Ovis aries: one gene and its partners. The protein of the gene in region 1 purifies or fractionates together with the protein of each later gene. This does not show direct contact. Links are inferred from orthologs where the notes say so. Each region holds a gene or a part of one and is shown in the gene's direction. Other genes may lie near its edges. The genes, in order: MMS19, PRIM2 and PRIM1.

Region 1 (3,646 bases):
AGACTCTGGTGAGTGATTCTTCTGTTTTGAGGACCCAGCTGTCTTTAGACAATTTAGCAATGCTACAGGATTATGGACTGATTCTTAGAGAGCCGGGGAGCTGTTCCCTGGGCGTCAGGAGAGGGATACCCAGGGTCTCAGCCTGTAGGTTGACCTACAGCCCGCAGCTGCGTTTTGCCCTGTTCTGTAGTAACAGAGTGGCAGCTGAGGAAAGGCTGACCAGGGCTCCCTCTTCATGCTTGTTTTCATCAGTTGGGGCGAGATCCTGCTTTTCAGTGATCTGGGTAGGATGGTTATGAAACCCTGCTGGTTTTACTGCTGAGAGCCGCCTCTTTCAGGTGCCATTATGCTGAGGGGGCTGCACGTCCCAGGAAGCCTAAGAGTATAGACTGCCGTTAACCTCTGCTTTCCCTGGCAGAATGCTTGCTGTGCCGTGTACGGACAGAAAGAACTAAAGGACTTCCTTCCCAGCCTCTGGGCTTCTATCCGCAGAGAGGTGAGTGTCACTTAGATAAACTGACTACTCTTAACTCCTAGTTGTCAGGTCAGGCATGAGGGGAGATAACACACCCTGTCCTTTTCCCTCTGTTGCTGTGCCTGGTTATTCAGCAGGAGAGCCAAGGGGCATACTTTAGTTGAATGAAATGGGTAGGGCCAGCTGCTTCCTGATGACATGATCAGTCTCCCATAGTGCCCACTTCCTGTCTTTCCTTGGTAAAGGGCATAGGTCACTCTGAGTAGAGGGGGAGAGGAACAGACTTGGGGAAAGGGATCCCAACAACCACCACTCAAGGTCGGTATTCAGTTTCTCAAAAAGTACGTGGGGACGTCCCTGGCGATCCAGTGATTAGGACTCCATGCTCTCAGTGCAGGGGGCATGGGTTCAGTCCCTCATCGGGAAACATCACCCACATGCTGTGCAGCATAATCAGAATTGAAAAGGAAAAAAAAGAACTATGTGTATCAATATCCTAGCGGTACTAAGGACCTAGTGAGAATGCATCAGTTGAGATGAAATTCATGTGAGGGGTTAATTTCCATTGTTGTGTCCTAAAGGTTCTCACCACCCTCTCCCCAAAAGGAAATAGGCAGCAGGTGGGTAGGGTCTCACCTGGTGCAGGCTCACCTCAGTAGCCATGGGATCCCTCCCTGACAGGTGTTCCAGACGGCAAGTGAGCGGGTAGAGGCCGAGGGCCTGGCGGCCCTCAACTCCCTGACTGCGTGTTTGTCTCGCTCTGTGCTGAGGGCCGATGCTGAGGACCTCCTTGACTCCTTCCTTAGCAACATTCTACAGGGTAATGGGGCATGGCAGCTAGAAAGGGGAGAGCACACAACAGAGGGAAATTCCTTAAGGCCAGTGACCTTTCACGAGTGCCCCCAAGTTCAGTGATTTGCATACTGGAGCCCTGCTTTGAATTGAAAGAAATTTAAGTGATAACTGCTAGTCCTGGGGCTGAGCCTCCAGCTTCTATGACCTGCAGGGGAACCGGGCAGCATTCAGCCTACTCCCCAGGTCTGTGATGTGCTGCCTTTCTAGACTGCAGGCACCATCTGTGTGAACCGGACATGAAACTGGTGTGGCCTAGCGCCAAACTGCTGCAGGCGGCTGCAGGTGCATCTGCCCGGGCCTGCGACCACATCACCAGCAACGTGCTGCCTCTGCTGCTGGAACAGTTCCACAAGCACAGCCAGGTAAGGAGGCAGAATCTCTTTAGGAAGTGATGGGACCCTGGGCTAGCATGGCGCTCTCATAGAGAAAGCTATGTTGTGCTTGGGCCTAGATATAGCAGATCTTGGGTTTTGCTCCCATTAGCTGCTGCTGGTTCCCTTGTTCACTCTCTTCTTCACACTCTTACGTACAACGATAATTCTCCCCACTTCCATAGTAGCAAGACTGAAATCCATTAAAAGGTAGTCTTTGACCCCCATAACCCCTTAAAACGTTACAGAGCAACCAGCGGAGGACAATCCTTGAAATGATCCTGGGTTTCCTGAAGCTGCAGCAGAAATGGAGCTATGAAGACAAGGGTGAGGCTGCCTTCTAGATGTGCTGTCCTGGGGGTGCTGAGCGCTGCAGCCCTGTAAATGAGGGCAGGCCGGGAGTGCTATAGAGAAGGAGCCTAGAACAGCCGACCTGTTGTTCTCAAGTTGTAGCACAAGAGAACACTTAAGAAATGAGCCCTGTTCATTTTTTTTCCTAGTGTACTTCCTGGATATCCAATGGATTAAATTCTTTAAATCTGTCCCAGCAGTTCCCTGGTCCAGTGGTTAGGATTCCATGCTTCCTCTGCAGGGGGCATTGGTTTGATGCCTGGTTGGGGAACTAAGATCCCATGTTCCATGTTGCACAGCCAAAAAAAAAAAATCTGCCCCTAGTTATCTTTGTATCGGTGCTGAATGAGGTTTCCCTCTAACCTGGACTCTGTTTCTCCCTAGATGAAAGACCTCTGAGTGGCTTCAAGGACCAGCTGTGCTCACTGATGTTCATGGCCCTGGCAGACCCCAACACCCAGCTTCAGCTTGTTGGCATTCGCACACTCACAGTGTTGGGTGCTCAGCCAGGTACACTTAAGGGAAAGAGAAAAGATCGGAGCTTTTGGTCCCTTTCCTGTGGTTTTCTGTCTTAAATAAAGAGCAGTCTTTATTCCCTGGTTCTCACAATTCTGTATGATTTGGGATTTCTAATAGGATTTTGGGAAGGATGGTGGTGGCTGCTGGGGAAGAAAGATGAGGTTTATGTCTCCTTCTAATACAGATCTCCTGTCTTCTGGGGATTTGGAGCTAGCAGTGGGTCACCTGTACAGACTGAGCTTCCTGGAGGAGGATTCCCAGAGTTGGTGAGAATATAAGACAGCAAGATAGAGCCAGCTATTCCAGGCCGCTGTGCTCCTGACCCTTGGCTTTCCCAGAGGACATGGAGTCTGTGCTTGGCTCTGGCTGCTAACTGGTTGGAGCGATTGTTGTGGGAATGTTCTCTTTTGGGGGGCATTAAGAAGCCCTGTCCAACTTAGTGGTATAGGTACTCGAATCCTGCTTTTTTAGAAAGGTGGTCTCAGAAGCCCACGCTCCTGAATCTGCCGAATGGGAGGCCTAGGCAAGAGAGCCACGGAGCCAGCTCAGCTAATGCTCACCTGCCCTGTGCCCCAGCAGGGTGGCAGCACTGGAGGCATCAGGAAGCCTGGCCACTCTCTACCCCGTGGCCTTCAGCAGCCACCTAGTGCCCAAGCTTGCTGAGGATCTGTGTTCAGGTACGTGTCTCTGAGCTTCTGTGGCTTGCTCCTTCCCAGGGAAGTTGGTGGGGCGGGGGTGGAGGGGCTTCCTGCATGCTTGCCATCACACAGTGAAATCTGATCTCCTGGGTTGCTTTTCAGAGGAGTCAGATTTGGCTAGAGGGGATGGGCCCACCAGGTGCTCCCAACATCCACGCTGTCTGCAAGCCTTATCAGCTGTATCCACACATCCCAGCATCGTCAAGGAGACGCTGCCTCTTCTGCTGCAGCATCTGTGCCAGATGAACAGAGGTGACTACAGGAAACAGTCACTGAGGAGCTGGGCTGGAGAGGGAGCTGCAGTCAGCTTTGGAGTTGATGTGTCTAAAACAGTGGTTCCAGTGATGGCTCTAGCAAGAATCACATAGGAACTAGAA
Region 2 (4,379 bases), on another chromosome or scaffold:
TCAGTCACTCAGTCGTATCCGACTCTTTGTGACCCCATGGACTGCAGAATACCAGGCCTCTCTGTCCATCACCAGCTCCCGGAGCTTGCTCAAACTCATGTCCATCGAGTCGGTGATGCCACCCAACCTCTGTCGTCCCCTTCTCCTCCCGCCTTCAATCTTTCCCAGCATCAGGGTCTTTTCAAATGAGCCTTTTAAATGGGTTATGGCAATACAATGAACTGACATGTAAGTCCCTCAGAACACGTTCTGGTACAAGGTCAGGGTCAACCCCTGTTTGGCCCAGGCTAGGCAGATGCTCTGAAGCTTGACACTGTTTCAGCTCAGTCTGCATTTCCGAAACCTTGAACGTCTTGACGGCTCCTCCCCTCCTACCTTGACAGGGACTTCTAGAGGCCTCTTTTGTGAGCGAGACCCGCCACCTGGCGGCCTCAGTTCTGAAACGCTGCCGCGCACAGTGGGGGCCGTCGCCTCCCGCGCCTCCCGCGCCTCCCGCGGCCTCGCCGGTCACCGTCCGGCGCCCCGCGGTCTCCTTCCGCAGACGCCGAGCGTTCCTGAGTGCGCACGCGCAAGGCGTGCGTCCCGGCTGGACCGAGGTCCCCCTGCGGACCCTCGCCGCGCACCGAGAGTGCGGAAGGGGCTCGCCGACCAGGAGAAAAGCGGGCTGACCCGCGGTACGCAGGCCGCCTAGCCGCCGCCTCTGTGAGCGGTGAGCCGGGCCTCCCGCTCGCCGGGCTCTCTGAGATTATCACCCAGGGTCCCAGTCTGGAGCCGGTGCTGACCCGGCGCCGACAGCTCAGACCCACGCACACGTAGTGCAGCAGTGAGAGTGACAGTCGCTCCGTCGTGTGCGACTCTTTGCGAACCCACGGACTACACAGGCCATGGGATTCTCCAGGCCAGAACACTGGAGTGAGAAGCTTATCCCTTCTCCGTGGACCTTCTCGACCCAGGGATCGAACCCTAGTATCCTGCATTGCAGGCGGATTCTTTACCAGCTGAGCCACAAGGGAAGCCCAAAATCATCTGGCAGCGGTGGGATTCGAACCCCGACCCCTACAGCCGCTGCTGCCAAGTCGCTTCAGTCATGTCCGACTCTGTGCGACCCTATAGACGGCAGCCCACCAGGCTCCCCCGTCCCTGGGATTCTCCAGGCAAGAACACTGGAGTGGGTTGCCATTTCCTTCTCCAAAGCATGAAAGTGAAGTCGTGTCCGACTCTTAGCGACCCCATGGACTGAAGTCTACCAGGCCCCTCCGTCCATGGGATTCCCCAGGCAAGAGTACTGGAGTGGGGTGCACTGCCTTTTCCAGACCCCTAGAGACTGGATCTTTAATCCAGCGCTTTATCACGGCCACGATACATAGTGCAATACCTACGACAGAAATCCAGAGACCGCCCCACCCAGAGGGCCCCACTGAGCATGCGCAAGCCTGGGCTGGGCGGGCTTGGGGGAGAGGGCGGGCTCCGCGGTCCAGCCATTTCCGCTTCCGGTCCCGTTCGAACTCTCCCGCCACCTGAGGAAAGCTGTTGTCGTGTTTATCTGTGTTTGGTGTAGTTGCAGGTGAGAGGAGCCGCCGGGGTTTGCGAAGAACAGTAACCCTGGGGTTGAGGTGTGCGAGCCTGGAGAATGGGGAGAGCGGCGGGCGCGGGGGGCGCGAGTCCGTCCTGGTTGCTTGTCTAGGCGGAGGCGGGTGCCGGGGCTGACAGACCGCGTTGGCTGAGGGACCGCGGAGGCGGCGTGTCACTCGGCGCCGCTGGACGCTCCGGAGAAGAGCTCCGACGTGCGGCGCCTCGGAGACAGCCGTCAGTTTTCAGGGGTTGTCAGGGAAGAAGCCCACCGAGTCGCGTTCCTAGCCTGAAGCTCCCGCGCTTTCCTCCGAGTTCGGGGTCGCAGCCCTCGGGCAGTCTCAGCCTGACCCTGGAGAGCTCAGAGCCTTCAAGGCGGAGCGCGCAGACGCCTGGAGAACCGCCCGCGTCCCCTGCTGTGGACGTTGCGGGAAGTCACGACCGCTGCCCGCGTCTCCGCAGGGCTCACCTCTCCCCACCGCCTGTGTACCGCGGTTCCAGCGGTGTTGTCGAAGGTCTGGAAGACAGGGACACGACTCAACATGTTGTGCGTGCTCTTCAGAATCAGTTGCCAGGCAGAATGTTTTCCTTTGTGTGTGGAGTTATTTTTTGTTTTTAACTCCATTTCCCACCGTTTTTTGTGCTTGCTTCCAGGGTAACAAGATGGAGTTTTCTGGAGGAAAACGGAGGAAACTGAGGTTGGCAGATGACCAGAGGAATGCTTGCTACCCACATAGCCTTCAGTTTTACTTGCAGCCACCTTCTGGAAACGTATCTTTGACAGAATTTGAAACGTTGGCTATCGATAGAGTTAAATGTGAGTGATTTGAATTTGAATTTTTGTATTCCTGAGAACCTCACTTATACCTTGTAGAGATAAATTAGAGTAATTTATTTCCTTCTTTAATATTTGCTCAGGTTTTTCGTTGAGATTTTGCTGTTCATTCATTTTTTCCATGTACTGTGCATATTTATTGAGTGCCACTTTATTCTAGGCGGTAGGGATTTTGAGCTGAGTAATGAAATTGTCATCTTTGTTGAAGCTGTATTCTAATACATGGAGACAGATGTCCAAAGCAGTAATTATAGTTTAGTATTTTAAGTGCTCTAGTAGAGGTGTTATTGAAACAGATGGGAATGATTGACCTAATCTGATTAAGTGAAACTTCTTAAGAAAAGTTGAAATGTGACCTGGATCTTGAAGCACGAGTAGCAGTTTCTCAATAGAGAGGAAGGGAGCGGTTTTTGCAAGCTGAGCTAATGGTCTGAAGGAAGAGTTGGAAGCACCAGAGAGCGTGAAACACTGGAGGGAAAGGTGGCAAGTTCAGGGTGGGTGGAGAGCTGTGGGTAACCAAGGGTGTTTTGTACCACGCTAATGCTGTGATGGCATCACCGACTCGATGGACGTGAGTTTGAGTGAACTCCGGGAGTTGGTGATGGCCAGGGAGGCCTGGCGCGCTGCGAGGGCGTGCTGTGATTCATGGGGTCGCAAGAGTCGGACACGACTGAGCGACTGAACTGAACTGAATGCTGTGATAAGTGTAAGAAGGATGTAGCGATTTTCTTGAGCCTGCTTGTCTTCTCTGTGTTGGTGGAAGAAAGAAAGAAGTTCGGTGTCAACTGCAACAATAGCACTGCCTGCAGAGTTTATGTTCCAAAGCATATCCTGATGGGGAGATCAGAAGTAGAAGTGAGATACTGTTAGTCATTCTTAGAAGAGCTGGGTGAGAATTGCTAGTACAGAGTACCTGTATTATCTGTTTGCTGAATAAAAGAGTAAAGGGCAGGGAGAATGGGTTCTGGGAAGCTTAGCATGGGTTCTGCGATGCCTCATAGAGGTTAAGTGGTTGAAAAGGGTCCCTTCAGTTTGGCCCTGGAGGTGAGATGGTGAGGCAGGGACAGGAAGGGAGACATGGAAGGGATACCAAGGAGGTGTAAGTGACAGGGTTTGATGACTGCTTGGGTGTGAGGAACAGGGGATCAGGTGAGGAGGGCTGAAGTTCCAGGGTGGCTGATCTCGTGGGTAGAAATGCTGCTGTTAGAGGTGGGTGGCAGGAAGAGGAGCAGGATTGAGGGGCAGAGAATGAGTTTGGTTTGGGAGACCATAATACGGAGTCCCTGCTGGACATGGCCTCAGGATTCATTTCAGAAGTTTTTCATTCTCAAATTAATCTCTCTTTTCTCACCAATGGAAGAAGAATTCATCCGAGGAAGAGTTGACAGGGGCTTCAGGAGCCTTTGGACAGAGCGAAGCATCTAGTCAGAGTGGCTTGTTTGCTGCTTTACTGCTGTGTCTTCTTCTCTGCTTCATCAGGAAGGGGCTGGCTATCTTCCGAAGAGTCTGTGCTGAGTTGGTGAAGCACCCGCCTCACAACCGGCTCAGCACGAGGGCTGGATGCGCACGCTGACACACTTGTGCATCCCTCAGCAGTGATGCTCAGTACATCATGATTGTCCCCATCCCTCTCTCCCTTCCAGTTGAGAATCCCTGGTATGAGGTTATGCTGTGGGATGTGGTTATTTTCTGCATATGGTTGGAGGTTATTCTCTTATAAACATATATAACATGTAATGTGCTTGCAGAAAATGAAGCTTAAGTATTGTTATAAAAAGTAATTATGGAATTGCTATCCATAGATTTGTCTTAGATTTAGTTTTTTAAGATTACCTTGCATTTATACATTTCCCCCCACCTTTCTTCTGTTTTTCAAATTTTTTCTAGTGCTAAAAACAGTTGAGAATCTTGGTGTGAGCTACATGAAGGGAACTGAACAGTATCAGAGTAAGCTGGAGGCTGAGCTTCGGAAGCT
Region 3 (3,646 bases), on another chromosome or scaffold:
TAGTTTTCTTTAATAGTCTACAATGACTCTGTAGTATATACATTTATATAGCCCCTTTTCAAATCTGCCAGTTATGTGTTTTTAGTTTATTTTGGTAACAAGCTTAATGTTTCTTAATGTTTCTCTTAATATTCTAAAGCTTCAGTGAGTATTCCCCTTATTTAATATTCAAGATTTGAGTAACTAATTACATTCACTCGTAAGTATACATTTTTATTATATCTTTTTCCCATTAAATGGCTATAGTCTTTTCACTCTGCCTTCTACCCGTAACTCTCAATTTCCTTAATTATTTTGTTAGTCACCTGCCATTCTTTAAATTCATTATCTCATTTTTCAGATATGAATTTTATCCTCATGTCCCAGATGTGGATTTTGTAAAAGGGTAATATGTCATTTATATTATTTCCAAAGATGCTCAACACATAGGTGTCTGTTTTGATTTCAGCAAATTAAAGTAATGAAGTAAACTACTTCCATCTATTTTGTGTTCCATCTTCAGGACTCACTAAATTTGAGATTGTTCCGTACGTACATATTGGAGGATATAGGGAAGAGAAAAACAGAAATCAAAATGGATATAAGAGCAACTAGGTAATAGCTCAGCAGTCTTTCACATCTATTTTTTGGTGTTTTTAGAGAAATAAAAGGCACTAATATGAAAGTACTTTTTTTTAAGACCCAATTTTATTCTGTTTATGTATTTTTTGAAACTTTTTGGCCACATGGCATGTGGGATCTTAGTTCCCTAGGCAGGAAGAGAATCATACCCCCTGCATCGGAAGTGTGGAGTCTTAACCATTGGACCTCCAGGGAAGTCCCGAAAGTACTTTTATATTTCTAAATAAATATTCTTAACAGATTAGTGTAACCCTCTTTCTAAGCCTTAAAGTTTTAGCCAAAAATAACTCATAGGACACAGCCTATAATTATTTGTATTGTACAATATTCAGCTTATAATTTTTTGTTTTTCACAGGTCGCATTTCTGTGCCTATTGACTTACAGAAAGTGGATCAGTTTGATCCATTTACTGTTCCAACCATAAGGTATGTTCCAGATCACTGATCACTCCTTTTTTGTTTGTGACTTGTAAATGTGAAGTAAATTGGATTAGATCCCTTCTGGAGAGGCAGCTTCTCTGAGGCTGTATGATGGTGCCCTTCCAGAAGAGCATTTCCTCGTGAGTTCTACAGAACACAAATTTTTCAGCTACTATTATGCAAAAAAAAAAAGTTCAAATAAGTTTGAGAAGTGTTGACTTAAGCAAAATTTCCTAGTCTTTAATATGCTAACATGCATGGAAAACTCCAGAAAGAGAGTATGATGTTTAGAATATCCCAAATTCATTTGGCCACATTTTTTTCACAGAAAATCTTGTGAGATTCATGTGCTTTCATACACTGGGTAATATTGACCAAGAATCAACTTTTAAATTATCTTCTATTATTTGTAGTTCCATTTGCCATGAGTTGGATGTTATTTCTACTAAAGAAGAAAAAGAGAATGGAGCTGAATCTGATATTAAACACAGAACCAGAGGTAGGTTAGTATATTGAAGTCTCACTTTAACATAATCTTTTTATATTGACGTCTTTCTGTGACTCAGTAATTAATTTGCCTTGGATTCAGACCAGAATGGATCATTATTTATCCTGAAACCAGCTCAGTAGCAAATAATATGATCACAATGTTTCTCTCCTTCATCAGTTGCCCAAATGGTGCTGTTGAATCCAATGTGAGTCTACAGATATTTACAAAATAACATTTAATGCCAGGATCTATACTGAAAGATTAAATTGTCAATTGATTTTGACAGTTGTTTGAATCTCACAGTCTTAGATTCAATAACTATCTACTTAACAACTACCATGTATGCAGTATTTCGTTCTCTACTTATTTTTGTATCCAGATGAGTGTTATGTTAAATATATGTCTAAACTGTAACTGAATTGTATATCCAATAATTTGAAAGAGATGGGAATATAAAACGGCCTGTTCAGTTCAGTTCAGTCGCTCAGTCGTGTCCGACTCTTTGCGACCCCATGAATTGCAGCACGCCAGGCCTCCCTGTTCATCACCATCTCCCTGAGTTAGTGAAAGTCAAATCTTATACCAATACCCAAGAGACACTATAGCAATAGTTCAACACTACTTTCTATGATGAAAATGTCATGCACTGTCCAAATGGTAATCACTAGCCTTTATACATGACTTTTGAGAACTTGAAATGTGAGAAACTGAATTTTTAGCTTCATTTAATTTAAATAGCCTCATGTGACTCGTGACTACTGTAATGGGCAGAACAGATCTCTGATTGATCTTTTTAGTCAAATGTTGCTACCTTGCTTTCAGAATCCAAGCTCAAATGTCACTTCATATATTTCAGCTCTAACATAAACAAGGTACATTCCTCCATCAATATTTATAGAATGATTACAAGCATTCTGTTTAAAATAATGGACAAAAGTCTCTAACAAATAAACTGGAAAATAATAAACTGGAAAAAAAAAGAACTCAGGGAAAATAAACAATGCAAGGAACAGAGGAAACCTTTTTTTAAAAAAACTGATCTCCTCAGAGATTAAGAGAAGACAGTGTATCCATGAAGCAAGACCAGAATGCTATGGGGAAAAAAACATTCAGAATAAGAAAGAGGTCTTAGAAATCAAAAACATAATCGTTAGAATAAAACTTTCACTGGAAGGGCTGGAAAAGAAAAGAGGAGACTTCCTAGAAAGTAGTGAAAAAAAAAAAAAAAAGACAAGTTAGTTATGTTTTTTAAGGAGGAAAAAGATAAAATTAAAGACTGATTCAGGAGGTCTAATATCTGACAGAAAAAGAACAAATAAAATAGGGAGGGAAAAAATTGCCAAAATTATATATGAAAACATCCCAGAAATGAGCCCTTTGTTAAAAGGGCTCAGCATAATGAGAATGATATGCCTACACCAAGGCACATCGTTTTGAAATTTAACAGAATTAAGAGAAGATCTTAAGAGCTTTCAGACCCCTTCCTACAGTCCCTCCCCACAAAAAAGCCATGGACCTAGGAAGAATGGCCTTAAATTTCTAAGTAAAAATGGAAGTATTCATTTTTAGAAGTAAGTGCTAGAAAAGAAAAAAGTAGTTGCCATTCAAGAAGATGGAAAGGTTAGCAGGGAGCTGCTATTTTTTTCCACAAAAACCTGTTAATACTATTTTACTTTTTTTTTTTTTAGCAAATTACTTTTAACACAACTTTTTAAATTTAATAATAAAAGAATAATAAATTTAATAGTATCTCTTTGTGGACATCTTTTTATTTTATTCAGAGGTTTTAAGAAAGCAAGTTTTGGCTCCCTATAAGGAGAAGCTTTATAATAAATATCTGTTCGGAAATAAACTGCTCTTTCAAGTATTCATACAGGCTATTAGCCGTGAGTAAGTCAGGGATGCTTTAGATGAGGTGGGAGGCTGGCATAGGTGATATATATAAGTTCTTATTATTTCTTTAATTTCTATGATTCTAAACTTTTGTCCATTTTCATATTAGTACCATTTGTTCCTTCCTTTCTGCTTCCCAAATACTGGTATGTTCTCTACCTTCCTCACTGACTATCTAATTAAATCTTTTTTCTAAGACCCAGTTCATAGCTACCTCAGTCA

The links.
Region 2: the proteins of MMS19 (region 1) and PRIM2 purify together in Homo sapiens (affinity purification with western blotting; 5 studies listed by BioGRID and IntAct, with this or other methods). This does not show direct contact. The link is inferred for Ovis aries from reciprocal best matches to the Homo sapiens genes MMS19 and PRIM2.
Region 3: the proteins of MMS19 (region 1) and PRIM1 purify together in Homo sapiens (affinity purification with western blotting; 3 studies listed by BioGRID and IntAct, with this or other methods). This does not show direct contact. The link is inferred for Ovis aries from reciprocal best matches to the Homo sapiens genes MMS19 and PRIM1.

The regions. Positions count from the first base shown.
Region 1 is NC_056075.1:18,508,982-18,512,627, reverse strand, and holds part of MMS19 (MMS19 nucleotide excision repair protein homolog), read left to right. Parts: coding exon 1-8; intron 9-418; coding exon 419-496; intron 497-1,156; coding exon 1,157-1,295; intron 1,296-1,537; coding exon 1,538-1,692; intron 1,693-1,949; coding exon 1,950-2,028; intron 2,029-2,436; coding exon 2,437-2,562; intron 2,563-2,755; coding exon 2,756-2,837; intron 2,838-3,147; coding exon 3,148-3,248; intron 3,249-3,371; coding exon 3,372-3,521; intron 3,522-3,646. UniProt on the Homo sapiens protein: Key component of the cytosolic iron-sulfur protein assembly (CIA) complex, a multiprotein complex that mediates the incorporation of iron-sulfur cluster into apoproteins specifically involved in DNA metabolism and genomic integrity.
Region 2 is NC_056073.1:3,042,184-3,046,562, reverse strand, and holds the start of PRIM2 (DNA primase large subunit), read left to right. Parts: upstream 1-1,480; 5' UTR 1,481-1,613; intron 1,614-2,223; 5' UTR 2,224-2,232; coding exon 2,233-2,386; intron 2,387-4,291; coding exon 4,292-4,379. UniProt on the Homo sapiens protein: Regulatory subunit of the DNA primase complex and component of the DNA polymerase alpha complex (also known as the alpha DNA polymerase-primase complex) which play an essential role in the initiation of DNA synthesis.
Region 3 is NC_056056.1:162,928,648-162,932,293, forward strand, and holds part of PRIM1 (DNA primase small subunit), read left to right. Parts: intron 1-977; coding exon 978-1,047; intron 1,048-1,454; coding exon 1,455-1,540; intron 1,541-3,646. UniProt on the Homo sapiens protein: Catalytic subunit of the DNA primase complex and component of the DNA polymerase alpha complex (also known as the alpha DNA polymerase-primase complex - primosome/replisome) which play an essential role in the initiation of DNA synthesis.